7 linked regions of the Cricetulus griseus genome follow. The protein of the gene in region 1 purifies or fractionates together with the protein of each later gene. This does not show direct contact. Links are inferred from orthologs where the notes say so. Each region holds a gene or a part of one and is shown in the gene's direction. Other genes may lie near its edges. The genes, in order: Skp1, Fbh1, Fbxl18, Zc3hc1, Fbxo42, cotranscriptional regulator FAM172A and Bcorl1.

Region 1 (3,364 bases):
TGCATAGCAAATTTTAGGACATTTAGGGCTACATAGTAAGACCTTGCTTCACAATAAAGTATGGAAAAAAATTGCAAATATTTGAAAATTCAGTAATTTCCTAGTTATTTATCAGCCAAAAGAAAAAATTTAAATTAGTATTTTTAACTGAATTGAGATAAAACAATTAAAATTTGGGATAAAGGTAAAGCAGTATATTAGAGGAAAGTTAGTAAAAGGCGAAGTTAAATTAAAGTAATTAGTATTAAAGGATAGAGAATTTCATTAAAAGATGTATGTTTTAAGCTCAATTTGATGTAGCTTGTTAATTAAAGATTCAGTACACATGATTAAAAACCAGCTGTCATTTACAGGCTGCAAACTACTTAGACATCAAAGGTTTGCTTGATGTCACGTGCAAGACTGTGGCCAATATGATTAAGGGGAAAACTCCTGAGGAGATTCGTAAAACCTTCAATATCAAAAATGACTTTACTGAAGAGGAAGAGGCCCAGGTAAGTAGGATACAGCCTATTTTTGATTACTTTTTTAAAGAAACTGGAACCCAGTAACAGTGACAAAAAAATGGTGCCTATCATGAGGTCTTGGGCTAGGGCTACAGCTTACCTAGGATGCCTTTTTAAATACCTTGTGGTGCATGCCTTTGATCCCAGCATTTGGGAGGCCGAGGCAGGCTATGAGTTAGTCAGCCATCCAGGGTTATATAGAGAAACTTTGTCTTAGAAAACCCAGTAACATTAACAAAAGTCTTGATACAGAGGAATAATGTGCACCTCTGTGTCTCACATACTACTCACCTGTTTCTGAATCTAAGTACTTAGATGATACTGTTTTGTTTCTTTTTAATTAATTTTTTTTCAAGACAGGGTTTCTCTGTGGCTTTGGAGGCTGCCTTGGAACTAGCTCTTGTAGACCAGGCTGGTCTCAAACTCATAGAGATCTGCCTGCCTCTGCCTCTGCCTCTGCCTCTGCCTCTGCCTCTGCCTCCCAAGTGCTGGGACTAAAGGTGTGCGCCACCAATGCCTGGCTGATACTATTCTTGAAGACTTTTAATTTTTATTCATGTGTGTGAGCATGGTGGCCAGAAAAGGGCATCAGATACTCTGGAGTTCTAGTTACGGTGGTTGTGGGGTAGGAACTAAATGAAAACAGGATTCTTAACCTCTGAGTCATGTCCAGCCTGATACTATTTTTTAAAATATTTATTTATTCGTTATTTTATTTGTATGGGTGTTCTGTCTTCATGCACACAGAAGGAATTTGATCCCATTATAGATCCTTGTGAACCACCTTGTGGGTGCTGGGAATTGAACTCAGGACCTCTGGAAGAGCAGCTAGGGCTCTAAACTGCTGAGCCATCTCCATCCCCCCAGTTGTCTTCCCCCCTTGTTAACTGTAAACATAAGAAAAATGAATTTTGGGCTGGGCGTTGGTCATTCCCGCCTTTAATCCTAGCACTCGGGAGATAGAGGCAGGTGGATCTCTGTTGAGTTCGAGGCCAGCTTGGTCTCCAGAGCAAGTGCCAGGATAGGCTCCAAAGCTACACAGAGAAACCCTATCTCAAACAACCCCCCCAACCCCCCCACCTCCCACCCCGCAAAGAAAAATAAAAAGAAAGTGGAGCCTGATAGTACGTACAAAAGTGGATAAATGTAGTTTGTTTACTAGCTTGGAGAGTGGGACTAGAGCTCCCAGTTGTATGTGCTGTTTGATGTACAGTGGGAGTCACCAAGTCTACTCTTCTTTCCTGGTACTTTCCCAGCTTCCCATCTGCTCTTCTCACATCACATAGGCTACTGATGGGATAGTATAGGTAGTGTTTAGCCATCTCACAAAAGACCACTAAAGGTATTTACTTGTCTGTCTCTTCCAGGTACGCAAAGAGAACCAGTGGTGTGAAGAGAAGTGAAGTACTGTGCCTGACACTGTAACACTAGAAGGGTTGTTCTAAATGCTAGTTGCACTGCTTTGTTTATAATTGTTAATATTAGAGAACAGTAGACAAACACAGCCTTGTCCTCACTGCATGTGTAGTTCCAGTACAGATCTGACCTATGGCTGAGTTTCTTCTATATGAGTAGAAGTTTTTGTTTTTTGGTTGTTTTTTTTTTTTTTTTTTTTTTTTCTTCATTACTCTGAATAAAACTGAACTTTGGGTTCTCTGTGGAAAGTGGCATTTGGGCTTTCCCTCTTTCTGTAAAGCCATTTCTGCCTAGTTCATTGTCCAGTTAATTTCAGTGAGCCTTTGTAAGTTGGCATTGTAAATAAAACAACTTATGAGAAGTATTCTGAAATAGAATTAACAAAACATGATCTTTGTTCATGAGTCGGAAACTTGAACAAGGCAACTTGAAGTTAATGTTGTGAGTGGGGTTGTTAGAATTAGGATGTCTTTCATCCTCTCTGCTGCTGGTAAGCTTGTACACAGCTGGGCTCTCTTAATTGGATCTGAGGACTTATTTTATCTTTTTTTTTTCCTTTAATTTTTAATCTCAGCTTTTAATATGTTGCTAGAGATGTAGTTTACTACCCAGTTTGGTTTTGGAGGGGGCTGTAATTAGATTATTTTCTTTGCTTTTCAATTAAAAAAGACTTACTTCATGTGGTATGTCATCTTTTTATCATCATTGTTCCCACATGGGGAAAGACACTACTTGCATGTAAAAAATTATTTAATCTTTAACATTAAAGTGTACCACAAAACTCAGAAAACAGCCTTACTAAGTGCAAGATGCTTTTCAATAAAAAGTAATACAATAGGTAGTAAACAGTTGCTTTTGTGGATATAAATGTGTCTCTTCACTTAACATATTGTTTGTTTTGGGGGTTTGTTTTTGTTTTGGGGGGGCGGTTCTTAAGACATGGTTTCTCTATGGCTTTGGAGGCTGTCCTGGAACTAGCTCTTATAGACCAGGGTGGTCTCGAACTCACAGAGATCACATTCCCTCTGCCTCTGGAGTGTTGGGATTAAAGGCGTGAGCCACTACCGCCTGGCTAAGTTTGGTTATTTTTTAATTGAAGAGATTCTTAGGTGGTTTGTCTTTAACTGGAGACTCTTAGCATTTGTGTGGTTCCTTGAAACCAAATGTTTAGTCAGTTCTTTTTTTTCTTTTTAAAGTAGTTTAATTACATTTTTTAATTTTGTGTGTGTACTTGCATGCTTGGTACACACAACTGTGACACATTTGTGTTGGTCAGAAGATGACTTGTGGGAGTCAGTGCTCTCCTACCACTTGTGTGACCCAGAGATCAAGCTCAGGTTGTCAGACTAGGTGGCAGGCACCTTTGCTTACTGAGCCTTCTTACTAGTTTGCCCGTCCTCCCTTAAAGCTTTGCTTAGTTCCTTTTTTTTGGGGGGGGGGGT
Region 2 (3,688 bases), on another chromosome or scaffold:
GTTACTGAAAAGATTCGTGGTATAACTTCAGCCATTTTAATTGATTGACTGGCTTATGACTCCGGATGTGATCCAGTGTGGAGAATGTTCATGGGGCTTGGGATGAGATTGGATTTTGCTCCTGTTGGATTGAGCATCTGTATGGATCTGTTAGGTTCAGTAGTCTGTAGTGTGTTCAAATCCAGCATCTCTTTACACATCTCTGCCAAATATTTCTTCATTCAGTTCTGTCAGTGTTTGTTTCGTATCTGTATACTCTAGTAGATGGTGTTACTCTCTATGTTGTCACATTTTGGTGAAGATGTCACTGTGTAGCATTATCATTCCATCATGCCTTCCTTTGTGTCATGTAACAGTTGACTTAAGGTGAGTATGGCTTTTGGAACTTGGAAGTGCTGCTCACCTGGTACTTCAGATAAGAAAACCAAGTGCTAGCTTTTCCTAGCTCCTGTGACATTTGTATTAGAGCCAAGACCAAGGCCCAGTTGTCCTAGTTTCCAACTCAAGCAGACAGTTTCTCCCTGGTCTGCCCAGCTTTGGATTGGGAGCTGTATTTGCTTTGTATTTGGTAGGTTTTCTTTGTTGGTGTCTCAGTCTTTCTAAGAATCATGGCCTGGATGTTATTTCGTTTTGTTTTTCAACTACATAGTTCATTCCTTGGAAAAAGCTGTATCATCGATACTTGATAAATGAAGAGCAGGCTGTCAGCAAAGTGGATGGCATTCTCTTGAGCCATGGCATAGAAAAGGACTCGGACTTATGTGTGCTGAACCTCATCCGGTGAGTGTCTTTCTTCCAGTTTGTGAGACAGTTTTCAAAGTCCTTTCTCATGTCTTTCCTCACGATTGTCTTCCTTCTGGACTCATTTCCTGAGCCTTTTACAGATACACAGCCACTACCAAATGTTCCCCAAGTGTAGACCCTGAGAGGGTGCTGTGGAGCCTGAGGGATCACCCTCTGCTTTTGGAGGCTGAGGCGTGCATGCGCCAACAACTACCTGACCTCTATGCATCTGCTGGGGTATGTGAACTGAGAGGTTGTGGGGTTACTTTGGGGGATGGTGACATCATTTCTCACTGGAAGTCTGTTGCTGATTAAGATTAATTGAAGATAATATATATATTCAAAAATGTTTTTAAAGTTTTTTTTTTTTTATTTATTATGCATAGAGTCTTCTGCCTGCATGCCAGCAGAGGGCACCAGATCTCATTCAAGGTGGTTGTGAGACACTATATGGTTGCGGGGGAATTGAACTCAGGAGCTTTGGAAGAAGAGTCAGTGCTCTTAACTGCTGAGCCATCTCTCCAGCCCAATATTCAAATTTTTGATTGAATCTCTGAATAGCATTAATCTTGTTAATGATCTATTTGGAGAAATAAAAGGCCCTATTTTCAGCTTCTTGAATGCTAGTTATCTAGTCTCTGAACACTTGGAGTGATAGGGTTTCTTTATGATAGCCATTTATATTTTAAAAATAATATAAGCCAGACAGTAGTAGCACACACCCTTAATTCTAGCAGAGGCAGGTGGATCTCTGAGTTTGAGGCCAGCCTGGTGTACAGAGCAAATTCCAGAAGAGCCAGGGCTAAACAGACAAACCCTATCTCAAAAACAACAACAAAACAAAACAAAAGCAGACCCAACCCAATATATGCATTTATATATATATTTTTATGTAGATAGGTCCACACATGAGTATAGGAGCTTGTGGAGGTCTGAAGAGATCCCCTGGAACTGGAGTTACAGGCGGTTGTGAGCTGCCATGTAGGTGCTGACCCTAGGTCCTGGACAAGAACAGCAAATGCTCTTAATCACTGAGCCATTTCTCTAGCCCTTGAGGTGGCTCTCTCCTTGTTGATACATTGGGTAATTTGAAAGAGGCAGAAAGATTAAATGTCTTACTATAGATTCACAGTAAAATAAGATGCTGGAAATGTCTATCAGTTTCCTCACTAGTTTCCAGATTGTGGCTGAGTCTAGCTTCTCCTCCTATCCTGTATACCTCTCTTTGAAGGGCATTAACGTCTGGGCCTTGGTGGCTGTCATGGTGCTCCTCTCCAGCTGCGTGAACGACATCCAGCATCTGCTCTTCTGCCTCAGGAGACCCAGCTCCACAGTGACCATGCCAGATGTCACCGAGACCTTATACTGCATAGCTGTGCTCCTTTATGCCATGAGGGAGAAGGGGATTAACATCAGCAATAGGTAACACCCTGGAAAGGAGCTGCTATGATAAATCACAATGCCCTAGACTTGTCCTAGCGCCTCCTTTCTCCCTGTGTAGTGTGTAAGGGGACTGGGCTGTGGAAATGCAATTCCAAGTGCTTTGTGAATATCATCTGCTGGTCAACTAAGATTTCTTCACATAGTTTCTATGTTCTTGGGTGTTGAAGCTAGAGGTGAAGGTGAAATGCCTCACAGTACTCACACCTGGCTACATATTTCTAGGAAAACGTTAGCATTTTTTTTTTTTTCTCCCTTGCTCACTTTTGGAGCGGACTATAGTGGGAGTCTTAATGACTGTGTCTTCTTAATATAAGAAAGGCCTAGAGTGTTGGTTGCTCATTCACCATTATCTTGACAGTGATAAAGTATGCAAAGATAAATAGCAAGCTGGAAATTGTCCAGGCACAAGAGAGTCCACTGTGAAAATACTTAACATTGCCTGTGCAGTGTAAGAAGACAGGCAGTGCATAAGCACACAGCCGCCTTAGGGAATGTGTGTTGTAATGGGAGTGGAGCAGAGCTCTGTGAGAGGGCAGTGGGGATCATTGTTTTAGATGGAATGAGCAAACACTTCTCTGAGGAAGTCTGAATGTCAAAGAGGAACCTCCATTTGGAGGTATGAGAAAGAGCATTTTAAGAGAAAGAAGAGGTAAGTTAAGGACCCAAAGTTGGAATTAATTTGATAAATACCAGGAAAGTTCAGTGAGGCAGAGTGCATTGAATATGGGAGAAGCTAGTGCAAGATTATGAGAGATGTCTGGGGACCAGGGGAGGGCAGATCTTTAAAATCCTGAGTATGGGTGGTATATATGGAATGGCCTGCCCTTTCATCTGAAGTGGTGAAGACAGGCAGCCATCATGCATCCAGTTCTAGAGAGGTAGAAACCCAGAGGGTTTCATCTCTAGGAAAAGACTGACCCCTGCGATTAGTGAGCCCCTAGAGAAACACAGCAGTGACCTCATCATCCTTGGTAAGGTAGTACAGAACAATTCTGTGTGTTTATGGACACTATAACAGTACCATAAACCAGGTTGTTTAAGCCACAGACATTTGCTTTCTTGCCCTTTTGGAGGCTGGAGATCCAAGAACAAGGTGGGGAAGATTGGGTTCCTAGTGAGTCATCTTCTCTGTATCCCAGGAAGAGAGAGATGGAAGCAGGGGAGACAGAACACTTGACATTGTGTCTCTTCTTTTAAAAATGAGTTCGAGTGGATCATGGCTGTAGCTTTGTAACTGCACTGAATCATAATTCTCTCCTTCCTTCCTTTCTTTCAGCAGTCCTTTTATGGTATTAGGGCTTCAGCTTTTGAATTTCAGGAGGGGCATATAGTTCAGTCCATAGTAGTGTGGTATGTTGCTCTGGTTGTATGTCCAGCCCCTGAAATGTTATTAAAGGTATCTTTTTTCACCAAAAAGAGTGATGCTTTGAGATCAGCTCTTCACTCTGGAGTGGAGCAGAGC
Region 3 (3,688 bases), on another chromosome or scaffold:
ACCGTCTAGCACTGAAATCCATGCGAGAACTGGTGGTTGGAAGGAGGACTCAGGAGAGAAGAGGTCGTAGGAAGCTTTAAGGGTAGTTCTCTCTCTCAATTTATTTATTGTGTAGTGTTCTGCCTGCATGTATGGATATCAGGAGAGGGCACCAGATCTCATTATAGGTGGTTGTGAGCCACTTTGTGGTTGCTGGGAATTCAACTCAGGACCTCTGGAAGAGCAGAGCAGCCAGTGCTATTAACCTCTGAGCCATTTCTCCAGCCCAAGGGTAGTTCTTTTTCTTTTCTCTTTCCTTTTTTTCTTTTTTAAGGTTTTTTTTTTTTTTTTTTTTTTTTTTTTGTTTTTTGGTTTTTCGAGACAGGGTTTCTCTGTGTAGCTTTGGAGCCTATCCTGGCACTTGCTCTGGAGACCAAGCTGGCCTCCAACTCACAGAGATCCCCCTGCCTCTGCCTCCTGAGTGCTGGGATTAAAGGCGTGCACCACCAACACCCGTCGAAGATCTTTTTTTAAAATTTTATTTATTTATTATGTATACAACATTCTGCTTCCATGTATATCTGCACACCAGAAGAGAGCACCAGATCTCATAACAGATGTTGTGAGCCACCATGTGGTTTCTGGGAATTGAACTTAGGACCTCTGGAAGAGCAGCCAGTGCTCTTAACCTCTGAGCTATCTCTCAAGCCCCCTGGCTTTTACTTTATAATCCTGCCTCATCCTCCTAGGTGTTAGGATCACAGGTGTGTGCCGTCACACAGATACATGGGTAGTTCTTAACTTACGACTTCATTTTTTTGCTCTGAGACAACACAGGGTCTAGTGAAGAAGGGAATGGCTGGGGCTGGAGATGAAAGCAGAGCTTTGGGCTCAGGTGGAGAAGGAACCACTTGGAAGCATAGGATCAGTGTGTCCCAATGCCTCTGCCTCCCGAGTGCTGGGATTAAAGGTGTGTGCCATCAACAGCTGGCTATTATTATTAGTGTGTGTGTGTGTGTGTGTGTGTGTGTGTGTGTGTGTGTGTGTTTGTTGGGGTATATGCATGTGAGTGCAGTTGCCCACAGAAACCATCAGATTCCCTGGAACTGAAGTATAGGCAGGAGCCACTCAACATGGGTGCTGGGAACTGAGCTCTGGTCCTTAAGAGCAGTATGCACTTGTAACCTCTGAGCCATCTCTCTAGCCAGGACTATGAGATCTACATATTGGATGAAAGAACCGACATCCACTACTTTACAAGTTGTTCTCTGATCTAATACAGACACTTGTGCACCAACACACACTCTCTCTCTCTCTCTCTCACACACACACACACACACACACACAGAGTTACATGTATGTTAAAAAAGGGAAAATTCAATATAGTATGTACCTATGAAAATTGCTAAGTGTCTTGTGTGAAATTTGCTCTTTCTCAGGGAGATGTGCCTGGGGAGCAGAGTGGCAGAGGATAGGCTGTGGTTCAGGGGCCTGTATGCATTGTATACTGGAAAGGCTGTTAGGGGGCTGGGATGTGGCTCAGCTAGAGTGCTTGCCTAGCAGACATGAAGCCCTGGGTTCTATTTCCAGCACTGGGTAGACTGGGCCTGATGGTGCATTCCTGTGATTCCAGCACCCGGGAGGTGGAGACAGGACGATCAGGCCAGTTTGTGGTCAGTTTGGGCTACATGAGACACTGTCAACAAGGAAGGAAAGGGAGTAGAAGTGATTATTGGGAGCCAGGCGTGGTGGTACATGCATATATATTGCCAGCACCATGTTCAAGCTCATACTGGGCTACATAGTGAGTTGAAGGCCAACCTGGGCTTTATAGCAAGCTCCTCCCCCCCCCGTTTTTTTTGGGGGGACAGGGTTTCTCTGTGTATCCCTGGCTGTCCTGGAACTCACTCTGTAGACCAGGCTGGCCTTGAACTCACAGAGATCTGACTGCCTCTGCCTCCTGAGCACTGGGATTAAGGTATGTGCCACCACCACCTGGCAGAAAGTTGTCTAAACACCCAGGAAAAGCCAGAACATCAGGGAGTTGGCTGAAGGTGGCCATCAGTGGTTTTCTCACCTCGTGTCCTGGTTTGAGTTCTAAGAGAAGATTCTGGGAACTCTGTTCTTCACCCTTTGGTGAAGAGTTGGTAAAATTTCTCTACTGTGGGGGTGGGCTCCTCCTGTTTGTGCATCCCCAGTTCTGGGATTGCAAGCAGGTGCTACCTTGCATACCTTTTTATGTGGGTGCTGGGGATCCAAACTCACGTCCTTCTGCTTGTCCAGCTAGCATCTAATGACTGGTCCACCCCCTCCCTCTGTTGTCCCTCACTTCTAGGACATGTCCAACGATGCTGCTGCTGCCCCCACAGCTGCAGAGGCAGCAGGTGACACCCACCTGCTGGGCTTCTCAGATGAGATCCTCCTGCATATCTTGAGCCATGTCCCCAGCACAGACCTGGTTCTCAATGTGCGGCGCACCTGCAGGAAGCTCTCGGCCCTGTGCTTGGACAAGAGCCTGGTGCACACCGTGCTGCTTCAGAAGGACTACCAGGTGACTCAGGCATGGGTGGAAGGTCAGGATCAACCAACGTGCTAGCTTGTGGGGGCTGGTGGTACTGATGTTTGCACAGAAGACTATGTAGCTGGGAAAAGCCACACATTAGGATTCAGTGACAGACCCAGGATAGAAGAGGATAGGTGGTGTGTCCCATGGCAGGAGGGCATAGAACATGTGGATGTAGTTCTGGGAGGGAAGAGCCTGGGCCTCAGATACAGGGCTCAGCGGGGGACTCCTTCCCCATAGGTACCCTAGGGTGGAGTTATTGCACCACAGGGTAGATTGTAGAAGGTCCCTGTGAAGTGACACAGTGGATGGCACAGTTGACATTGCTGCAAAATGAGTCCCCCATTGCTCAGGGCCGAAGTAGAAGTATCTGATTAACCTGGGACATGAGCCCACTGTGGTAGGATACACATGTAGTCCCAGCACTCAGGAATTTGAGGCAGGGTGATCACAGCTCAGAGCACTTTAGTAAGGCCTTGTCTCAAACAAAAAGAAATAAAAAACCCCAGACAGGTGTGCCTGATGGCATAGGCCTATAATCTCAGCATTCAGGAGCCAAGGCCAGATCTGTAAATTCAAGGCCAGACTGGTCTATACAGAGTTCAAGGCCAGCCAAGGCTACAAAGTGCGGCCTTGTCTTTAAAAAATACATGTCTCTCCTGCCCTGTCGCATTCTGCAGGCCAGTGAGGACAAGGTGAAGCAGCTGGTGAAGGAAATTGGTCAGGAGATCCAGCAGCTGAACTTGGCAGGCTGCTATTGGTTGTCGGGCTCTACCATCGAGCATGTGGCCCGCTGTCACAGCCTGGTGAAGGTGAACCTGTCAGGCTGCCACCTCACCTCCCTGAGGCTGTCTAAGGTGCTTTCAGCCCTGCAACATCTGCGCTCACTGGCCATCGACGTGAGCCCCGGCTTCGATGCCAGCCAGCTGAGCAGTGAGTGCAAGGCCACGCTGAGCCGAGTACAGGAGCTCAAGCAGACGCTGTTCACACCATCCTATGGTGTGGTGCCCTGCTGTGCCAGCCTGCAGAAGTTGCTGCTCTACTTTGAGATCCTGGACCGCACACGTGAGGGTGCTGTCCTCTCCGGCCAACTCATGGTGGGCCAGAGCAACGTGCCCCATTACCAGAACCTGCGTGTCTTCTATG
Region 4 (4,425 bases), on another chromosome or scaffold:
AGCCATGGCTCTGTTATACAGAAACACTTGTCTCAAAAACAAAACAAACAAGAATATTCTTGTTTGAGGAAAACAGGATGTTTTCAGGAAAACTAGAAATATCTTTGGAAGCTATTTTCAGTTTTGCTGAAATTTCTGGCTCTTGGCCATCAAGGCATATAAACAAATTCTGGACTAAGAAATCCTTTGTCCCTTTCTCTTTTGGAAACAGGGCCTTCTTATAGGGCTCTGGCTGACCTGGAACTATGTAGACCAGGTGGCCTCAGACTTGCAGAGATCTGCCTGCTTCTGCTTCCTGTGTGCTAGATCCGTAGGTTTCAGGCTCCAGCGTTTGAGAACAGTGCTGGAGTCAAGAGTCCATAGGAAATAAGTCTTCTTTTTTCACTCTTCCTACACATCTGTCATCCAGCTGGAGATTTTGGAAGATCTCTTGCAGATTTCTTCCCAACAACCTCATCTGCCTCAGTACTAAGATTGGGGTTCATTCCCACATCTCTGTTGTTCTATTTTTAAAAAGTGATCGCCAGGTGGTGGTGGTGGCAGCGGTGCACGCCTTTAGTCCCAGCATTAGGGAGGCAAAGGCAGGCAGAAGGTTTGTTTATGTTGTGTGTATATATGTGCGCCTGAGCATATGTATGTACACCATATTCATGCAGGTGCCCGGGGAAGCCATAAGAGGGCATCAGATTCTCTGCGTTTGAATAAAAATAATTCTTTAGCTGGACGTTGGTGGCGCACGCCTTTAATCCCAGCGCTCGGGAGGCAGAGGCAGGCAGATCTCTGTGAGTTTGAGGCCAGCCCGGTCTCCAGAGCGAGTGCCAGGATAGGCTCCAAAGCTATACAGAGAAACCCTGTCTTTTTTTTTTTTTTTTTTTTTTGAGGCCAGCACTGAGTTGCAGGCCAGCCAAAGCTGCACAGAGAGATCTTGTCTTGAAAACAAACAAGAAATTTATTTACCTAAATATGCTAGTTCACCTGATAAATCACCTACGTTCAATCTTTTTACTTATTTATTATGTATCCAACATTCTGCTTCCATGTATATTTGCACACCAGAAGAGGGACCAGATCTTATAAGGTTGCTGGGAATTGAACTCAGGACCTATGGAAGAGCAGTCAGGGCTCTTAACCTCTGAGCCATTTCTCCAGCCCTCTACGTCCAGTCTTAAACATTGTAGTCTTTTTGTTTGTTTTTCGAGACAGGGTTTCTCTGTGTAGCTTTGGAGGCTGTCCTGGAACTTGCTCTGTAGATCAGGCTGGCTTTGAACTCCACAAAGATCCGCCTGCCTCTGCCTCCCGAGCGCTGGGATTAAAGGCGTGCTGGAGTTAAAGGTGTGTGTTACCGCCCGCCAGGCCCTATAATCACTCTTTAATCCTGTTAGATAACCAGGAAGGCAGAGGACCTGAGGTCTGTATTTAGAGAGGCCAAAGGGGTGGGTCTTAACTCAGAACGGAAGTTCCTGAGCCTTCAGACGCCTGGGGACAGAACTGAGGAACGGACCAAGATGGCGGCTACCAGTGAGGGGCAGCTGTTTGCCGCGGGTATTGAAAAGACTTGGGGTGCAGTTGTTCGGTCCCCTGAAGGGACACCCCAGAAAGTTCGGCAGCTGATAGATGAGGGGATTGTCCCGGAAGAGGGAGGCACAGAACCGTGAGTGGCTGTGGAGACTTGGGCCTGGAACGGGGGCGGGGGCGTGGCGTACGGTGACTTCAATCCGTGACTCGGTGGCTGGGGTTGAATTCTTCCTGGGGTCCGAAAGACGCTGGGCTTCTCTAATGGCTTGGCTTCGATAGCCTCCGGATATACCTGAGGCTGCATCACTAGCGAAATCTTGTTAAAAGCCTTTTTTGAGGGCGAAGACTGTTAGCAGAATAAGCAAACCTGAATACTAATTAGGGTTCATGCGCCGGGTGCTCCCAGTCTGAGGACGCTTAGGAAGGAACCCCTTTTCCGAGGAGCACTCTTAAAAACGCATAAAGCAAATGTATACGGGATCATAATTGAAACCAAGTACACGGTAAAGTAGTTATCAAGATAGTCAAGGGAAGTTAGGTGGTGACATGCCATTTCCCTCCCGCCGTCCTTCCTTAATTAAATAGTTAATGCTGGGCGGGGAATACAGCTAGCCCAATGTGCACTAAGCCCCGGATTTGGTCCCTAGCACTACATTAAGGCGGCAGTAGCGGCACACAACTCTGAGGCGTTGGGGGGACGGGGGTGGCAGAGCTAGGATCTGAAGTTTCAGGCCAACTTGAGGCCCTGTCAGAGAGAGATGTGGAGAGTGGAGAGAGGAACAAGAGAGAGAGAGTTAAAGTGAGTACACTTTTTTTTTTCTTGGTGACAAATTCACAGATACTGCTTAGGCTACAGTGGGTTTGGCTTTTCTTGGTTTTTTTTTATGTTTGTTTGTTTGTTTTTGTTTTGTTCTTCTTTTTCCGAGGCAGGGTTTCTCTGTGGCTTTGGAAGTTGTCCTAGAACTAGCTCTTGTAGACCAGTCAGGTTTGGCTTTTCTTAATCTTGAAATTGAAGCCATGCTATATTTCTCAGAGATTTATGAAATAAATGTTATATAATTCTCATGTAGGTTTAGGGATCTTCTGATCCCCCCACCCCAAAGAACGCCTCCTTCTTGAGGTTCTCTGTAAATGTCTGAGGAAGATTCTTGGAATATTTTTTTTCTTTCAAGTCACAGTTATTGGTGTTATCTTATTGCTAAAGGGGTTTCTAGCTGAGAATAGTGGCTTACACTTTTAATACCAATGCTTGAAAGTCTGAAGCCTATGTTACAAAAATGAGATCCTCTCTCTAAGAAACAAAACAGAGATAGTCCAGATGGCTCGGTAAACACTTGCTGTGCAAACCTGATGACTTGAGTTTTCGCCCTGAAACCCACTTAAAGGTGGAAGGAAAGAACTGATTCCTGAACTCTGGAGGCATGCCATGACACTCAAACTCACACTCATATATCACACACATGCATGCACTAAAAATAAGTAAATAAAATAAATAAAACAAATAAGCAAACAAATGGGTTCTTTCTGTAAACCAGGCTGGCCTAGAATCCACAGACCTGCCTGCCTCTGCCTCCCCAAATGCTGGAATTAAAGGCGTGTGCCACCACTGCCCAACTTCAAATGGGTTCTTGTTTTAACAGTTCTGCCTTCTCCTATCCCAGGAGGGATGTGGAAGGCTGGTGGGTGGAATGCCTTTCATGTTTGAAATGTTTGGTTTTCTTTCTTCTTCTTCTTCTTCTTCTTCTTCTTCTTCTTCTTCTTCTTCTTCTTCTTCTTCTTCTTCTTCTTCTTCTCTTCCTCCTCCTCCTCTTCCTTCTCCTTCTCCTCTTCTTCTTCTTTTGTTTGTTTGTTTGTTTTTCAAGACAGGATTTCTTTGTATAACATTGGCCTTCTGTAGACCAGGCAGGTCTCAAACTCTCAGAGATCTCCCTACCTCTGCCTCCTGAGTGGGATTAAAGGTGTGGACCACCACTGCCTGTCCTATTTGGTTTTCTTTACATTGTATTTTTCTGAAGCTTCTTTTTGAAATAGAAAAATCTTGTCTTTGACTTTGAATATCCTAATTGAGGTTTGAGAACAAGGGTCCATGTAGATAGCAATATTTTTGTTATTCTCTCTCATATGAAGAGTTAAATTTCTGGTCCAGCAGGATGGCTCATTAGGTAAAAGTGCTTGCCAGGAAGCCTGGTGACCTGAGTTCAAGATCTGACTCCACAAAGTTGTTCTTTGACCGCCATACATGTACCCGGAAGCATTCATTCACATATATATCACATATACACACACATATGTATGTGTGTACACAGTAGTAATCCCAACACTTTGAGAGGCTGACGCAGAAGGATTGCTGCTGATTCCAGGCTAGCAGCCTGGGTTACAGAGTGAGACTCTGTCTCAAAAAAAGAAAAAGAATTTTTTCTCCAAGGTGGTTTAAATTGTATTATTATTAGTTAATACCTGAATCCTTGAAGGCCTTATTTTGTATTTACTAAGGTTATGGAAAATATTATTGGAGAACTGTGAATGAGCTAGGAGAGTGGCTAAACTTTAAAGAGTTGTGTCTGCCAGATTGAAGAATTCAGAGTCTATTTAATAAGTATTATGAAGAAAAAGGCTGTATTAAGCAGAGGAATGGCCTGACTGAAATGGTGACAGTTGAAATGATTTTTATAAACTTGAAATCTAGTTTGGGTTTGATTTGTAATATGTGTAGAATAGCTAGACTCAGAAGATTTAAGCAGAATATTACAGAGACGAGATCAGTAACACTCCTACTACTTGGTTTCAGAAAGGACACATCTGCCACATTCCAGTCAATCAATGGATCGCCTCAAGCAGAACAGCCCCCATTGGAATCTACAAGCAAAGAAGCCTTTTTTCACAGAGTGGAAACTTTTTCTATATCCTTTT
Region 5 (4,265 bases), on another chromosome or scaffold:
TGTGTGTGCACACAAGTGTCATTGTTAAAGAATGAAGGTCAGAGGGTAACCTGCAGGAGCTAGAGTTGATTCTCTCCCTCTACCTTGAGGCTCCTGGTCTTTAAGCTTGGGGCAAGCATTCTTACCTGCTCAGCCATTTTGCAGGCCAAGACTTTCTTTTTTGGAGATGATTTTTCACTATGTAGACCAGGCTGGCCTTGAACTCAGAAATCTACCTACCCCTGTCTCCTGAGTGCTCGAATTAGCAATGAACTTCCATGACATGCCAGTGGAATTTCTTAGTTTCTCACACACTGTATGTCAGGGGGTTTTGTAATATTTGTTTGAGGAACATAAAAGTTTCAAAGATTGAAACTCCTCAAACTGGTTTTGAACTGGAATCAAGTAATTCTTGCCCTTAAGCCTTCTGTGTAGCTGGGACTTAAAGGAGTGCCACCAAGCCTTGTGGTACTTAGCTTCTGACCCAGTCCTATGTCCCAAGACCTAGCCTAGGAAGTCTATTTTATCCCAGGGCAAATTGCTCCGTGTTTTAGGATATTCCAGTTGCACAAGAGTTGAAGCGAAGCAAAGCCCTTGAGTCTCTGTATCTGGCATTTACTTAAACCAAACCTGAGGGATAATTTCTAGACGGCTCTCACCTACACACGTTTTCTTGTTTTCTAGACAGGGTTTCTCTATGTAGTCCTGCCTGTCCTGGAACTCGCTCAGTAGACCAGGCTGTCACCAGCCTCTGCCTCTGGGATTAAAGGCATGAGCCACTACCGTCCGGCTACTTTTATTTTTATTTTAAATGAAGTAGTTCTTTTTATTTTATATACTTTTTCTTTTGAGACAGAATCTTGAGTATGTAGCTCTGGCTGTCCTAGAACTCACTATGTAGACCACCGTCTGGCTTTGCGGGACCCCACACCCTGGTGGTGGCCACAGTGGGAAGCACAGAGCAACCCAGAGGCCTGTTTCCTCCTGGGCCCCCGCTCTACGTGGGCAGCTTTGAGCCTGGGCTTCCTCATTTATTTAAAAAAGGAAAGGAAAGAGAAAAAAAAAGGGTGGTAGCAATATAGCTGTTGCTACAGTTTCCAAAGGCTTCCAACGCGGTGAGATGACCTGCGCTCGCCACCGCCCTTCTCTGTGCTCAGTGGGTACCCTGGGGGGGACACAGGCGACTTCTTCTAAGTCTCTAGTCTCAAACCAACAGGAAGGCAGCCCAGGGACCCGCGCCGACTCCAGACAGTCCAGGAGCGCTCAGCTCCCTTCGGCCCTTCTCAATATGGCGCCGCCCAGCGGCCACCGCGCGCAGGCCGGCCGCGCTGACGTGTGTGCGCGCGCGCTTCCTCTGCGCCCCGCCCCGGCGCATGCGCACTGCGCGCTGTCTTCTCCCAGCCTGAGCAGCAGCGGCGGCGGCGGCGGCGGCGGCGGCATCAGGGACAGCGGCGGCGGCGGCGGCGGCGGCGACGGCCGCGGCGGCGTTTGAGTGGAGGAAGATGGCGGCTCCGGGCGGCCCCGGGTCCCGCCAGCTGTGACGGTTCCCCGAGCACGGCGAGCACCGGCCTGAGGCAGAGTGGCCGTGCTCCGGCCCTGGCCCTGGCTCCTTCGCCATCGTCGCCGGAGACGCGAAGCCGAGAGCGCGGAGCGGGCTGGGCCAGGTGAGGCCTCTCCCGGTGCGCGGCCGCAGCCGGGCGCCGACGCCTCCTGCGCTTCATGCCCGGGCACCCCGGGCACCCCGAGTCCGGCGCGGGCCCCGTGTACTGCGCGGGCTGGGTCTTGGCGGGCCTGGGGTCTTGCTGTCGTCATCCTCGGTGCCCCTGGCTGAGGTGGGGACAGGCGCCCCTTTGCAGCCTGCCCTCGGGATGGGCGCAGACCTGTGCCCTCTCCTCAGCAGGGTGGTTCTGGTCCTCACTCGCCCGGGCCGGGAGAGGATGCGTGGCCAGGGCACGAATGGCTTTCGGGGTGTCACCGAGCCTCACCCCGCCCCCTGAAGCCCTTAAGTCCTCGGAGAAGAGCGGGAGACGGCTGCCCTCCCGAACTGGGGCTGCGGCTGCGGCTGCGGCGGCGGCGAGGGGCTGGCGTCTGGGAAGCTGCGGCTACAAAGAGATGATTTTTTGGAGCTGGCTGACAAATTGAAACACAAGCAGTTCCCTTCCTGACCCCTAGCCGTTTGAATGTTCTCTTAGGAGTGGGAACTGCAGCTCTCCTTGCTGGAGACAGCAGCAGTCCACGCTGTGACTGAGGAAGGCTTGCCCTGATGAGAATTGTCTGTTCAGAGAATTGTGGAGGGTGGGGACGAGTTTGTGAATCGAGAAAAAAATATAATTGGGTGAGATCCTGGTAGTCTTGAGCAGAGAAACTTCAGATGATGGAGTTGGTTCGAAACCTTTGGAACAACCGATTGCTTGCTTTGTCTGTTGGATATTCTGAGTTTTAATAAGGAAATAAACGCTTCGTTTCGTTTCTCAATGGCCAAAATGTTTGGACCCTTCTGTAGGAGCGTTCCGATGGATCTAGATGCAGAACCAGACACATAACCGGTTTTCACTTGCTGGAGGCAACACTGTACTATTTTGTTATTTTTTTCCCCCTTGCAACAACTTTTTATTGTTGTTGTTGAAATGTAGTAGTTGAGAGACTTTGTTTAGTTTTTCGGGTAGAGGAGACGGTTTGATGCCTGGTGGCCTTTTCATTGAGGAAGAATAGCTTCAGTTGGAATTGTGTTGTGAATTGTTGGGACCATCTCTTTGGCTTGGACACACCAAACGTCTTTTGTAACAAATCGGGCTTTGCTTGTGCTTAAGAATGATGACATCATGGATTTAAAGGGACAAGGGAAATTGCCGAAGAAACACCCTCACTTAGAATTCAGTCTGTAGCTCTTAAGCTAGAGAGGGATGCTCTCTCAAATTCTAACAGAGCTTATTCAGTTGTCTAGTGTGGTGGGGTGTCTTTTCTGTTGCACGCTGATCAGTTTGTATATTATAGCTGTTTGCTTCAGATAAACCCAATTTAATATAGCATTCAATCTACATTGAGCCATGAGTTGTTGTTGTTGTTGTACTTCAGCCAGCTTTTTTGTTTTGTTTTGTTCTTCGAGACAGAGTTTCTTTGTGTAGCTTTGGAGCCTATCCTGGCACTCGCTGTGGAGACCAGGCTGGCCTCGAACTCACAGAGATCCTCCTGCCTCTGCCTCCCGAGTGCTGGGATTAAAGTGCGCCACCAACTCCTGGCCTTCAGCCAGCTTTTAATGCCAACTATTAAGTTAAAATTACAATTATTTCATCTAATATTAGGCAGTTTTTTGGCCATTTTTCCTGCTTTCTTAAGTCAGCGTTTCCTATAGAAATGAGTAGATTTCCTTAGTGTCTTTGCCAAAGATAGAGACTTGAACCAAGGGTAGGAGATTGGAGGGCCATTCTGAGTGTTAATTTGCTAGTAGAGGGTCCTGGAATCAGTGGTGGTTTGACATTATGCTCCTTGGCATCAACTGTTGTGTTGCTATGCTACGTAGTCATCAGGTATTGATGGTGGAACTCTCTGCAGCGTTTTTGCTAAGTTTCCTTACCTGTCTCAGGAAAAACAGCTAAGGAGTGTGTGTGTGTGTGTGTGTGTGTGTGTGTGTGTGTGTGTGTTGTTTTGTTTTTGTTTTTTGAGACAGGGTTTCTCTGTATTGCTTTGGAGGCTGTCCTGGAACTCCCTCTATAGACCAGGCTGGCCTCGAACTCACAGAGATCCACCTGCCTCTGCCTCCCGAGTGCTGGGACTAAAGGCGTGCGCCACCAACGCCCAGCATGTTTTTGTTGTTTTATTTTTTAGCTTGATCCATTTCATTTTATGTGTACAGGCATTTTGTCTGCATGCGCATTTGTGTGTACCATGTGTGTGTGCCTGGTGCCATGAATCCCCCAGAACTGAAATGATAGGCAGTTGTGAGCTGCCATGTGGGTACTGGGATTTCAACCCCAGTTCTCTGGAAGAGCAGTCAGTGCTCTTTAACCTCTGAGCCATTCTCCAGTCCCCGTTTTATTTTTATATTATTAAAAACAATGTGTATGTGTGTCTGTGCATGAGAAAGAAAGGGAGAATGAGATTTAGGGACAGGGCTAGAGAGAATCCATATGTTAGCAGAGGCCAGAGGCATCAGATCCTCTGGAACAGGAGTTGCAGGTGGTTGTGAGCCATCTGGTGTGGATGGTAGGAGTTTAACCTGGATCTGCAAGAGCAGTAAGCACTTTTAACCACTGAGCCATCTCTCTAGCCCTAGGATGCTTCTTAAT
Region 6 (4,145 bases), on another chromosome or scaffold:
CCAGGTTTTCTGGAAGATTAGTAAATGCTCTTAACAGCTAAACTATCTCTTGAGCCCTGCAGGTTTATTTTTAACGAACTTATTCACGGTTGTCAGTCTACCAAAATGAAAGTATGCTGCTTTTTATGGTTGAAAAACCCCCGTCTGAAGCACAAAATTCAAATTGCTCACGGTATACAAAGCTTTTCAGAGCCTCTTTTCTTCAGTAGAAGGTTCTACCCTACAAATTACTTTCACTGTAGCCTGACATGAAACCCTAACATTCTTCAATGTTATAGCTTTCACTCAGACATTCTTGGCTTGTTTCAATAGGTTGTTTTTCCTCAAGAGCATTCCTTTACACTGCTACATTTTTTTCACCCATTCTTACCTCCCCAGACTTCCCACCCTCCTGTCCTATCTGTTACTAAGTTTCTCCAACTAGTGTAATAGTACAGAAATTATGTCAAATGACTTTTATTATATATTTTGTGACAGGCATGTTGTCCTGGTTGAGGATACCTTAAAAAAGACAAGATAAAGTCATTGCTGTCATCCAGTTGACATTTTAGTGGATCAGGCACACTGCCAATAAATCACATCATTGTCTTTTGTTCTGAAGGAAGCAGGAGCTGAGATGGAGAAGTACACCTTATGGGAGTGAGGTACAATATACTTTCAAGAATTCTGGAACCTCCTCTTTGAAAATATTACAAATGCAGGTTTGCTAGCTGTCAGACTTCCTTCGGTTACCGGAGGGGCCAGTCTTTTACCTGTCTCCAGTGCTTGCTTTGGCTTTCATTGGCCAAACAGTGGTTTTGGAATTAAAAACAAATCAGAATAGTGTATAAAAAAATTTAAACCACTTGCGCCTATTGCTCACCCCTAATCTACCCCTTAAGAGATGCATCTTTCAAACATTTTTGGAAAAGCAGAACACCAAGGCACTTCCCATTTGAGCCAGCTGTCATTAGGATGCTAGCATTGACTTCCCCTCTTAATTTTGGGGTAAATGCAATCTTTCAAGCATGGGCCTCCTTTCTCATCTTGAGGAGCACAGGCAGAATGAAGCCACGTAAACCATGAACCAGCCTGGGGAATTCACTAAAGGCCAGCCTCACAGAGAATATTGGAATTCCTCTTCCAGAACAGGCTTTAGGATAGGCTCTCCACTAACACCGGCCAGCTTCCTGCTGGCAGCACCTCCAGCGCCTCAGAAACACAGGCAGAGTCCCGCCCCGCCCATTTCCGGGTTGGTGGCGCTGCGGCCGTCGCATGCGTAATGATGTGTACGTCCCCTGCAGACCCCGGAAGTGCAACTCGAACTTGGTCGGGGCGCGGATCCCGAGAGAGAAAGTGGTAGCAAGCGCTGGAGGGAGTTCGCCCTGCGATCTGGAAAGCCACGCCTCCTCCTGCTAACCCCTCAGCCTTGCAGTTGGGGGCAGAGCTCAGGTAGGACCGCACTGGCAACCTCTGCGCCCGCCCGCCCGCCGCGAGACCCAGGAGGGGCTGGCCTGGCCGGGTCTGGGGCGGAAGGCTCCCCCCACTCCCCCCCCAACCCCGATCCCCCGTTCCTGACTGTCATAAGCCACGCATCGTCTCCAGGGCACATCTCTGACCTGTGTCCAAGACCTTGCAGAGGGTTGCCTCCATCTGCCTTATCCACTCTCCAGGCCGGAGGAACACGTGTGTCCTGGGGTGGCTAGCCTGCTATCTGAGCCCACGAGGCTCTGGTTATCACCAGAGACCTTAGACACAGCAAGGGATCCTCCACTTACTGAATTGCAGTTGTCTGGTTGAAGTTGTTTTTAGTTGTATGTTTTTATGCAAAAAGCGTTAACCGCTAAAGCTTTGGCATACATTTATTGCAAACATTAAAGTGTAGTTATAAAATACCCTCCAAGCTTGTATCGTATGAACCTTAGTAGAATGTATATATTCTTCCTAAAGTTACTTACATTTGGAAGCAGCATCTTGTGCTTCTCGTTTTCTAAACCTTTTGGGCCAAGTAACTTCTGTTTACCTGTGTTTGGGCTGCGTTTTAAAGACAAAAAGCATTGTCTGTTTTCCCCAAATCCTCAAAAAAGTTGTTGAGGGAAAGTTTTGTGGTCTGAACCTGATACTGCCTTGTTTTGTTTGTTTATAAATAGGTGCAGTGTGGTGCTGCTGTTAAAGTTCATGGTTTGTCTTTGTCTTAATGCACTGTCAAAAGTGTTCTGTTTCTCCTTGTTCTTTATCCATTCTTGAAAGGGACACATGACCTTACTCATTCTGAAGCTGAATCAGAGCATTCTTTAGGTGCTAAATTCAGGCTTCAGTGGCAGAGCTTTCTGTAAACCTTCCTAGTTTTAAACTAGGAGTCTGGTCCCTTCAACCAGTGAAACTGACTGGAATAGCTTTTTGACTGTGACTGCAGCAGCACTTACAAATGGTAGAACAGTATCTAGGCCAAGAGCGAAATAGGATCTATAAAGCTGTGAGCATTGCTCTTTTTGTTCATCTAGTACATTGACTAGCCACCTTCAATAAGTCAGGAAATGTCCATGTTAAGAGAAGACAGTAGTGAACAAAATAGAAACTCCTGTGTACTCTTATTCTAGTGGGTGGAGAACAATCCATAAGCAAATGCATAAAAAGTGAGGATCGCAAGGAAAAATGAAGCAAGTAGAGGGGGGAGAGGATGATGGGAGTGCTATGCTAGAGAAGTCTCTTTGCTAAAGTGGTAGTTGAGTAGAGGTCTGAACTGATTAAGAGGCTGACTCTGTAGCTGGGGTATGTTTTATGTGAACACCTAGGAGAGGTTGAAATACATTTGTTGTCACTTGGAATAGTAAAGATGCAGGGTTACCAGTATGGAGACTTACTATTCAGTGATTTGTTATGTTCATGAGAGATCATGTTTAATAACAAGCAACTTAGCATGGTGATGAGGATCCAGGTCAGTGCACATTAAGGTGTTTCCATGCTCTTCATTAGGCTTTACCCAAACTACCAATATTTAGTCAGTTGATGTAACATGTGCTGCCTTTGTTTTTGTTAGATTGAGTTTGCCCAATAGCATCAGTATTTACCGAATACTTCTCTGTGCTAATTTTACTTTTCTTTTACTTTAACACTATAGTAAAATGTACCTAACATAAAATATTTTAATAATTTCAAGGATTAAGTTGACTAACACAACATATGTTTATACCGTTGTGTAACCATCATTGCTGTTTGTCTTAGTATTTTTATCTTCCCTAGATGAAGCTCTGTACCTTTTAAACACTAATTCCTCATAGTCAACTACCCTTAGCCCCTAGCAACAATGGAGCTTCTTTCTTCGTCTATGGACACATCATATGAGTGTACTTAAATAGCGTTTGTCCTTTTGTGACTGGCTTTTTAAACTTAGAATAATGTTCCCAAGTTTCAACTATGTTATTCCATATGTCAGAAAGCCCTTCCTTTAAAAGCTGACTATAATCATCACTGTATAAACGTTTTCCTTTTCACCTATTTGTTTATCTGTGGAAACTTGGGTTGCTTTTACTTTTTGGCTACTGTAAATGATTCTGTTGTGTGCATAAACACCTGTCTTACTTTCATTTCTTCTGGTTATATATTCACAAATGAAACAATTTGGAATACCTTATATCTTGAATGTTCATATCTTAAGTTTTGGTCCCTAGAGAAGTGCTATGATGAAAAAGATGGTCCTGGTTGGAGGTTTTAGACCATTGAGGGCATGACCTTGCAGAGGACAGTGTAACCTTAATACCTTCCTCCTCTGTATGCTTCTGCTTCTTGACTAATAAATGAGCATTTTTCTCTGCCTTGGGCTTCTTTCTGTTCGCACCATAATGTGCTCCCTTCCACAGCTACAAAAGCAGCAAGGCCAGCCACAGATGTACCAAAAAGTCTAAAATTGAGAGCCAGAGTAAACCTTTTCTCTTTATAGGTTGATCAGCTTAGTAATTGTTATAGTGACAAAAATCTGAGCAACAATGACTTCCTGGTTTTTCTTTCCCACCTGTAGTGCACAGGGTTCTAATTTTCCCACAGTGTTGTGAATATTTCTCCACATTCACCAAACCTGTTAAAACAGTAATTGCCATACTCATACCTATATAGGACTATCTATGGTTTTGATTCACAATACTGTAGTAATTGGTGATATTACATAT
Region 7 (4,385 bases), on another chromosome or scaffold:
TTCTAGGCAGGTTTTCCTCTCCAAGTCTTTTAAGCTTCTCTCTTTATAGACCTTCCGTTCCCCCCTTCCTCCCTCGGGTCTCCCCGGCAGCCCAGTTGCTTCCACAGGCAAGCAAGGGCTGTCCACTGAGGGTGACCCAAGGTTTTTGCAGCCCGGGAGGTTGCCACGAAGAGTGGGCCGAGCGGGAGTCGCGAGACGAGGCGATGAGACCAGGCATTTTCCTTTCCCTAGCACCTGTCCCACTTCGGCAGCCGGGCTGGGGCTTCGCCGGAGCGCGGCCTCAGTTCTGGAGCGCCAGAACCACGCACCGAGGTCGCCAAGGGTGGGGGGTCCGAGGAAGGGCGGGGTGTCTGGCGGGGGCGTTCCCTTCAGGCAAGACCCCCTCCCTCCTGCATAGACCGAGTCAAAAACGGGGAGAGCGTGTTACATACAAAACCAGAGCGAAAACGATCGCTCTCCGACCCCGAACGGCGTTGCGGCACCCCCCCCTCCCTTCCTGGAGCGGAGAGCTGGCTGGGGAAGGTGGCTCAGTTCTTCCCCCGTGGCCAGTGCGGGGTCTGCGGCTGCCCGGCGAGGTTCCGGCTTCCCCGGGGCTGGTAGGGGGGAGCCCCGAGAACTGCAGGCCCGCCCCCTTCTTCCTCCTCCTTCCCCTCCTCCCCCACGTGTCCTCCCGGAGCCCAGCGGCCTGATCCCAGCACCCCCCTCCCGCCACCTCCCTGCTACTCCCGCTTCGCCCGCTTCCCGGGCGGTGTAGAGAAGAGCAAAGTTGCGACAGCAGCCAGGGGGCTCTGCCCAGGTGAAGGGGGCGCTGTGACGGGGGCGGGAACGGCGTGGCCCTGCGGCGGGGGTTGTGTGTGTGTGTGGGGGGGGGAAGGATAAAGAAACTTGCTTTCCGCAGCCCCCACCCTGAGCGGGTTCGGATCTTGCGTGAACCGAACCCTCGTGGAGACGCTGCAACGCCGCCCGGACCGAGGCCGGCACCCCGACCCGGACCGCGCGCTTGGGCGGGCTAGCGAGGGCACGCAGGCCGGCACCCAGGCAAGGGCGGGGTGGGTGACCGTACACCGGACCGAACCACGGACTCCGGTGGCGTGGGCTAGGGCCGAACCCGGACCGGGCCGAGTTGGGTGGCGAAGTGGGACGTGGATTCGGGGGGCGGGGCGCGGCGGGAGGGGGGGAAGCAGGCCTGGCCTGACTGGCCTGGGCGTGGGGCGGGGGGCGAGTTCGGGGGCACTTGCTGGGCTCTGGACCGAGCGCTAGGGCGGGGCGGCGCTAGGGGCTGGGCCCGACCGGCGAGGAGAGGGCGAGGGGAGGGAGAGCAGGGGGTGGAGTAGGGGCGTGGAGTTGCGAGCGGGGTCTGGCCTCGGCCGGGGGCGAAGGTAGATCTGCGGCCGAGAGGAGCGGAGGGAGGGAGGGAGGCCCGAGGCAGCGCCGGCGGCGGCGGCGGCGGCGGGCGGCGGCGAAGGCCAGCTTCCGCGGAGTTTGTGCCCGGGCTTCTCGGCTGAGCTCCGGTCGCCTTATGCGCACAAATGGGGTTAGGGGACTGACTGGTAAGCAACTCCCAGTGTTAGACGGTGTTCCGTGGCGATTCCCGGAAAACTGAGGAAAGACGCCGTCTGCAATATGCCGCACCCCCCACCCACCTCTTAGCATCTGGATTCTGCTCTTTGGGGGCCGCGGACCCTCCCCACCACAATCCTTTCACTCTTTCAGCACCCCTTCTTCTCCCCCTCATCCTTGGCCATCTGGATCTCCTAGGGGTATGCATTTGAGGGGTGGAAGGCGTCGGGGGTTGCACTTTTTCCTCCCTTGGGGACAGCCTAGTTTGTATCCTATTCATGTGAGGTAACGTCGCTTGGCGTCGTGTGGACACTGGGGTTTAGATAATTTCACCCTCCCTTCCAGGGTCTTTGAGGGCTTTTAAGGAAAAGGACGGATCCCTGGATTTTCCTGACTAGAATGGGGTTTGAGGACTGGGATTTACTCTCAGCTCACTTCCAACACCAACCTCTTTACTGTGAACCATGTCTGTGGAGACTCGAAGGTGGAGGGTGGGTTACGGGAGCATTAATGTGCTTCTATATCTTTCTACAGGGTCGGCGTGGCGAAGGACAGCTAGTGTCAGAGGAGAAGTAGACGCCAGTTCAACTCCGCTCGCCCCCACTATTACTTCGGTGAGGGGGACAACGCTAAGGGGACGCTGGTGGGTTGGGGCCCAGGATAAGAGTAGGGGCGAGTAGTCGCCTTCCCCCAACGGATTCTTCCCTGTTAGGGGAGAGAAAGGCGAGCCCCAGCTTCGGGGAGGGTTCCGGGGAAGGAGATGGAGGGTGGCGACGACGGTGGGGGGGTGCGGGAAGAATGGAAGAGTCACACCCTGCTTGCAAGGGGAGCCTCCCTCGGGCTCCTGGGAAAAGGGGACTGAATACGTGTGCTCTGTGGTACCGGGGCAGGGGAGGTCTGGGGATGTGTTCAAAGAGTCATTTGCACACTGGTTCTGTCACTAGTGGCCTGAGAAAGTCAGGTCGGGGCATAAGGTGGAGAACGTTGGAAGGAAGGCAGACAACCGACGCTCTGGCCTCAGTACCCCGATCATCTCCCTTCCTCAACCTCCCTCTTGAGGGGCGTCGGGGTGGGGGGCGTGGAGCTCTTGGAGCCCCGCGGATTGAGTGCCTCCGCCTTTCTTGGGAGTCTATCTTTTTGCCCAGCTTGCTACAGCTACCACTGCCTCCCTCTCCGGAATCCGCTGGGTTCTCTCAGCGATCCCCTCCTCCTCCTCCTCCCCTCCCCTCCCCTCCCAGTGTCACCGGGGCTGCTTGGCTCTGCCCCCTTCGCCGCCGCTTGCTCCCAGCTTTAGTCCCTCCCTCTCATGCTTGCTCCCTCCCTTCGCCTCCTCCTCCCCCCCCCCCCCCGCCTAGGGAGCATTCTGGGAGTTGTAGTATCTTTCAGCGCTGGCTGGCGCCGCCCGCGAACAAGGCCGGACTCCACTTCCCGTCGAGCTCTGCGACCGGCACCCACTCCACCAGGCTTCTCTCACACACACAGGCACACACACACCGCTCTCCCCCTCACTCTTTCGCTCGCCGCGGCGCTGCCAGTGTGTGGCTCTGTCTCTCCTCGGCTTTGCTGAGCCCTCCCTTCTTCCTCTCAGTTCCTAGAGTCCGACCGCCGCCGCCGTGAGAGGAGAAGGAGGTCGGTGGCGATAAGGGGCGGAGGGGGGCATCGGATCCCAGCAGTGTTAGGCGGGTGGTGGTTCAAAGAGGGTGAGAGGGAGCTCGGGTGGCGGCCTGAGCCTCCCTGCGGAGCCGACCCGGGAACAGGTGCGTCTTTTTTCTCTCTCCCCCAACCCCTCCACCCCTTTTGACTCCCCGGCTTTTTCGTATTTCCCCACCCGCTTCTTGCTATCCTAAGCCTTTCCTCAACCCTGTCCGTTCCTCTGCCCTCAGCCTCTCCGCTTGCCCCCCGGGGGCGCCGTCCTCTCGGTGTCCCCGGACGTAGAGCTCCCTGGAGCTCTCTCTGTGCTCGCCCCTCCCTTCGGGACAGCTCCCCTCCACTTCCCACCTTCGTACCCCATCCGTGCCCTGCCCTATTCCCTTTTCGACCTCCTTCTCTTTTAGCCAGGTGAGACTTGTTCTCCACGATCCAAGAGAGTCTTCCTCTTGGCTGGGCGGGGGTCTCCATGGAAACGGGGGTCGTTAGCTACTGTAGGGGGGAACCATAGGAATTACCCCACTCTACAGAAAGGGAGGTGGAGGCTACGGTCTTGGAAGTACCTGGCCCCAAACCCTGATCCAAGGATCCGACGATCCGAAGGGAACCTGGCCAACAGGGTAGGGCGAGAAAGGGCTTGCTATTTTTTTTTGGGGGGGGGGGTGTCCGTGATGAAGTCTTGAAGAGACCGGGAGAAAATGCTCTCCAACCTTAGAGATGGAGGTGCGACGGGTGCTCTCAGGGTTGCTTTCTCCCCTGTTCTGGGGTGCAGGAACCATAGGGTAAGGGGTACCCCTAGGTGGCGGCGGGGCCTGGGTTCGGGAGTGGGAGTGCTGTGATGGGGGCAGGGGCAATTATCCGAGTCCCTGGAAAAAAGGCGGGGGATGACTTCGGAGCGCCCAGGCTCCGCTGCCCTCGCTCTAGGGGCGGGGGCTACCGGGCCAGGCGAGGCGGGGAGGGTGCTCCAATTGAAGGAGGATGAGATGGGGGCAATTCATACTGGCCCCGGCAAGCCTGGTGGGAGACTCGGCTTGCAAGCCCTCAACCCGCTTCGCGCCAGGCCTGAAGGCAAGGGGTCTGAGAGGAAAGCCGAGGGCTGGAAAGGAGGGAGGCTCCGGTTACGGGGCCGGATTTCGGGATCAGGGGCAATCCCCTGGCCCCTGGAGAAGGAGGGAGAG

The links.
Region 2: the proteins of Skp1 (region 1) and Fbh1 purify together in Homo sapiens (affinity purification with western blotting; 8 studies listed by BioGRID and IntAct, with this or other methods). This does not show direct contact. The link is inferred for Cricetulus griseus from reciprocal best matches to the Homo sapiens genes SKP1 and FBH1.
Region 3: the proteins of Skp1 (region 1) and Fbxl18 purify together in Homo sapiens (affinity purification with mass spectrometry; 3 studies listed by BioGRID and IntAct, with this or other methods). This does not show direct contact. The link is inferred for Cricetulus griseus from reciprocal best matches to the Homo sapiens genes SKP1 and FBXL18.
Region 4: the proteins of Skp1 (region 1) and Zc3hc1 purify together in Homo sapiens (affinity purification with western blotting; 9 studies listed by BioGRID and IntAct, with this or other methods). This does not show direct contact. The link is inferred for Cricetulus griseus from reciprocal best matches to the Homo sapiens genes SKP1 and ZC3HC1.
Region 5: the proteins of Skp1 (region 1) and Fbxo42 purify together in Homo sapiens (affinity purification with mass spectrometry; 8 studies listed by BioGRID and IntAct, counting the BioPlex papers as one, with this or other methods). This does not show direct contact. The link is inferred for Cricetulus griseus from reciprocal best matches to the Homo sapiens genes SKP1 and FBXO42.
Region 6: the proteins of Skp1 (region 1) and cotranscriptional regulator FAM172A purify together in Homo sapiens (affinity purification with mass spectrometry; 3 studies listed by BioGRID and IntAct, with this or other methods). This does not show direct contact. The link is inferred for Cricetulus griseus from reciprocal best matches to the Homo sapiens genes SKP1 and ARB2A.
Region 7: the proteins of Skp1 (region 1) and Bcorl1 purify together in Homo sapiens (affinity purification with mass spectrometry; 3 studies listed by BioGRID and IntAct, with this or other methods). This does not show direct contact. The link is inferred for Cricetulus griseus from reciprocal best matches to the Homo sapiens genes SKP1 and BCORL1.

Annotation. Positions count from the first base shown.
Region 1 is NC_048600.1:66,413,815-66,417,178, forward strand, and holds the end of Skp1 (S-phase kinase-associated protein 1), read left to right. Parts: intron 1-353; coding exon 354-494; intron 495-1,873; coding exon 1,874-1,909; 3' UTR 1,910-2,770; downstream 2,771-3,364. UniProt on the Homo sapiens protein: Essential component of the SCF (SKP1-CUL1-F-box protein) ubiquitin ligase complex, which mediates the ubiquitination of proteins involved in cell cycle progression, signal transduction and transcription.
Region 2 is NC_048596.1:228,531,145-228,534,832, reverse strand, and holds part of Fbh1 (F-box DNA helicase 1), read left to right. Parts: intron 1-649; coding exon 650-780; intron 781-884; coding exon 885-1,020; intron 1,021-2,014; coding exon 2,015-2,205; intron 2,206-3,688. UniProt on the Homo sapiens protein: 3'-5' DNA helicase and substrate-recognition component of the SCF(FBH1) E3 ubiquitin ligase complex that plays a key role in response to stalled/damaged replication forks.
Region 3 is NC_048597.1:79,453,292-79,456,979, reverse strand, and holds part of Fbxl18 (F-box/LRR-repeat protein 18), read left to right. Parts: intron 1-2,314; 5' UTR 2,315-2,317; coding exon 2,318-2,530; intron 2,531-3,222; coding exon 3,223-3,688. UniProt on the Homo sapiens protein: Substrate-recognition component of the SCF (SKP1-CUL1-F-box protein)-type E3 ubiquitin ligase complex.
Region 4 is NW_023276806.1:197,435,277-197,439,701, forward strand, and holds the start of Zc3hc1 (nuclear-interacting partner of ALK), read left to right. Parts: upstream 1-1,475; 5' UTR 1,476-1,505; coding exon 1,506-1,651; intron 1,652-4,303; coding exon 4,304-4,415; intron 4,416-4,425. UniProt on the Homo sapiens protein: Required for proper positioning of a substantial amount of TPR at the nuclear basket (NB) through interaction with TPR.
Region 5 is NC_048595.1:12,099,418-12,103,682, reverse strand, and holds the start of Fbxo42 (F-box only protein 42), read left to right. Parts: upstream 1-1,409; 5' UTR 1,410-1,643; intron 1,644-4,265. UniProt on the Homo sapiens protein: Substrate-recognition component of some SCF (SKP1-CUL1-F-box protein)-type E3 ubiquitin ligase complex. Specifically recognizes p53/TP53, promoting its ubiquitination and degradation.
Region 6 is NC_048595.1:298,681,912-298,686,056, forward strand, and holds the start of cotranscriptional regulator FAM172A, read left to right. Parts: upstream 1-1,258; 5' UTR 1,259-1,431; intron 1,432-4,145. UniProt on the Homo sapiens protein: Plays a role in the regulation of alternative splicing, by interacting with AGO2 and CHD7. Seems to be required for stabilizing protein-protein interactions at the chromatin-spliceosome interface. May have hydrolase activity.
Region 7 is NC_048604.1:21,119,959-21,124,343, reverse strand, and holds the start of Bcorl1 (BCL-6 corepressor-like protein 1), read left to right. Parts: upstream 1-1,476; 5' UTR 1,477-1,550; intron 1,551-2,094; 5' UTR 2,095-2,174; intron 2,175-3,020; exon of another isoform or gene 3,021-3,317; intron 3,318-4,385. UniProt on the Homo sapiens protein: Transcriptional corepressor. May specifically inhibit gene expression when recruited to promoter regions by sequence-specific DNA-binding proteins such as BCL6.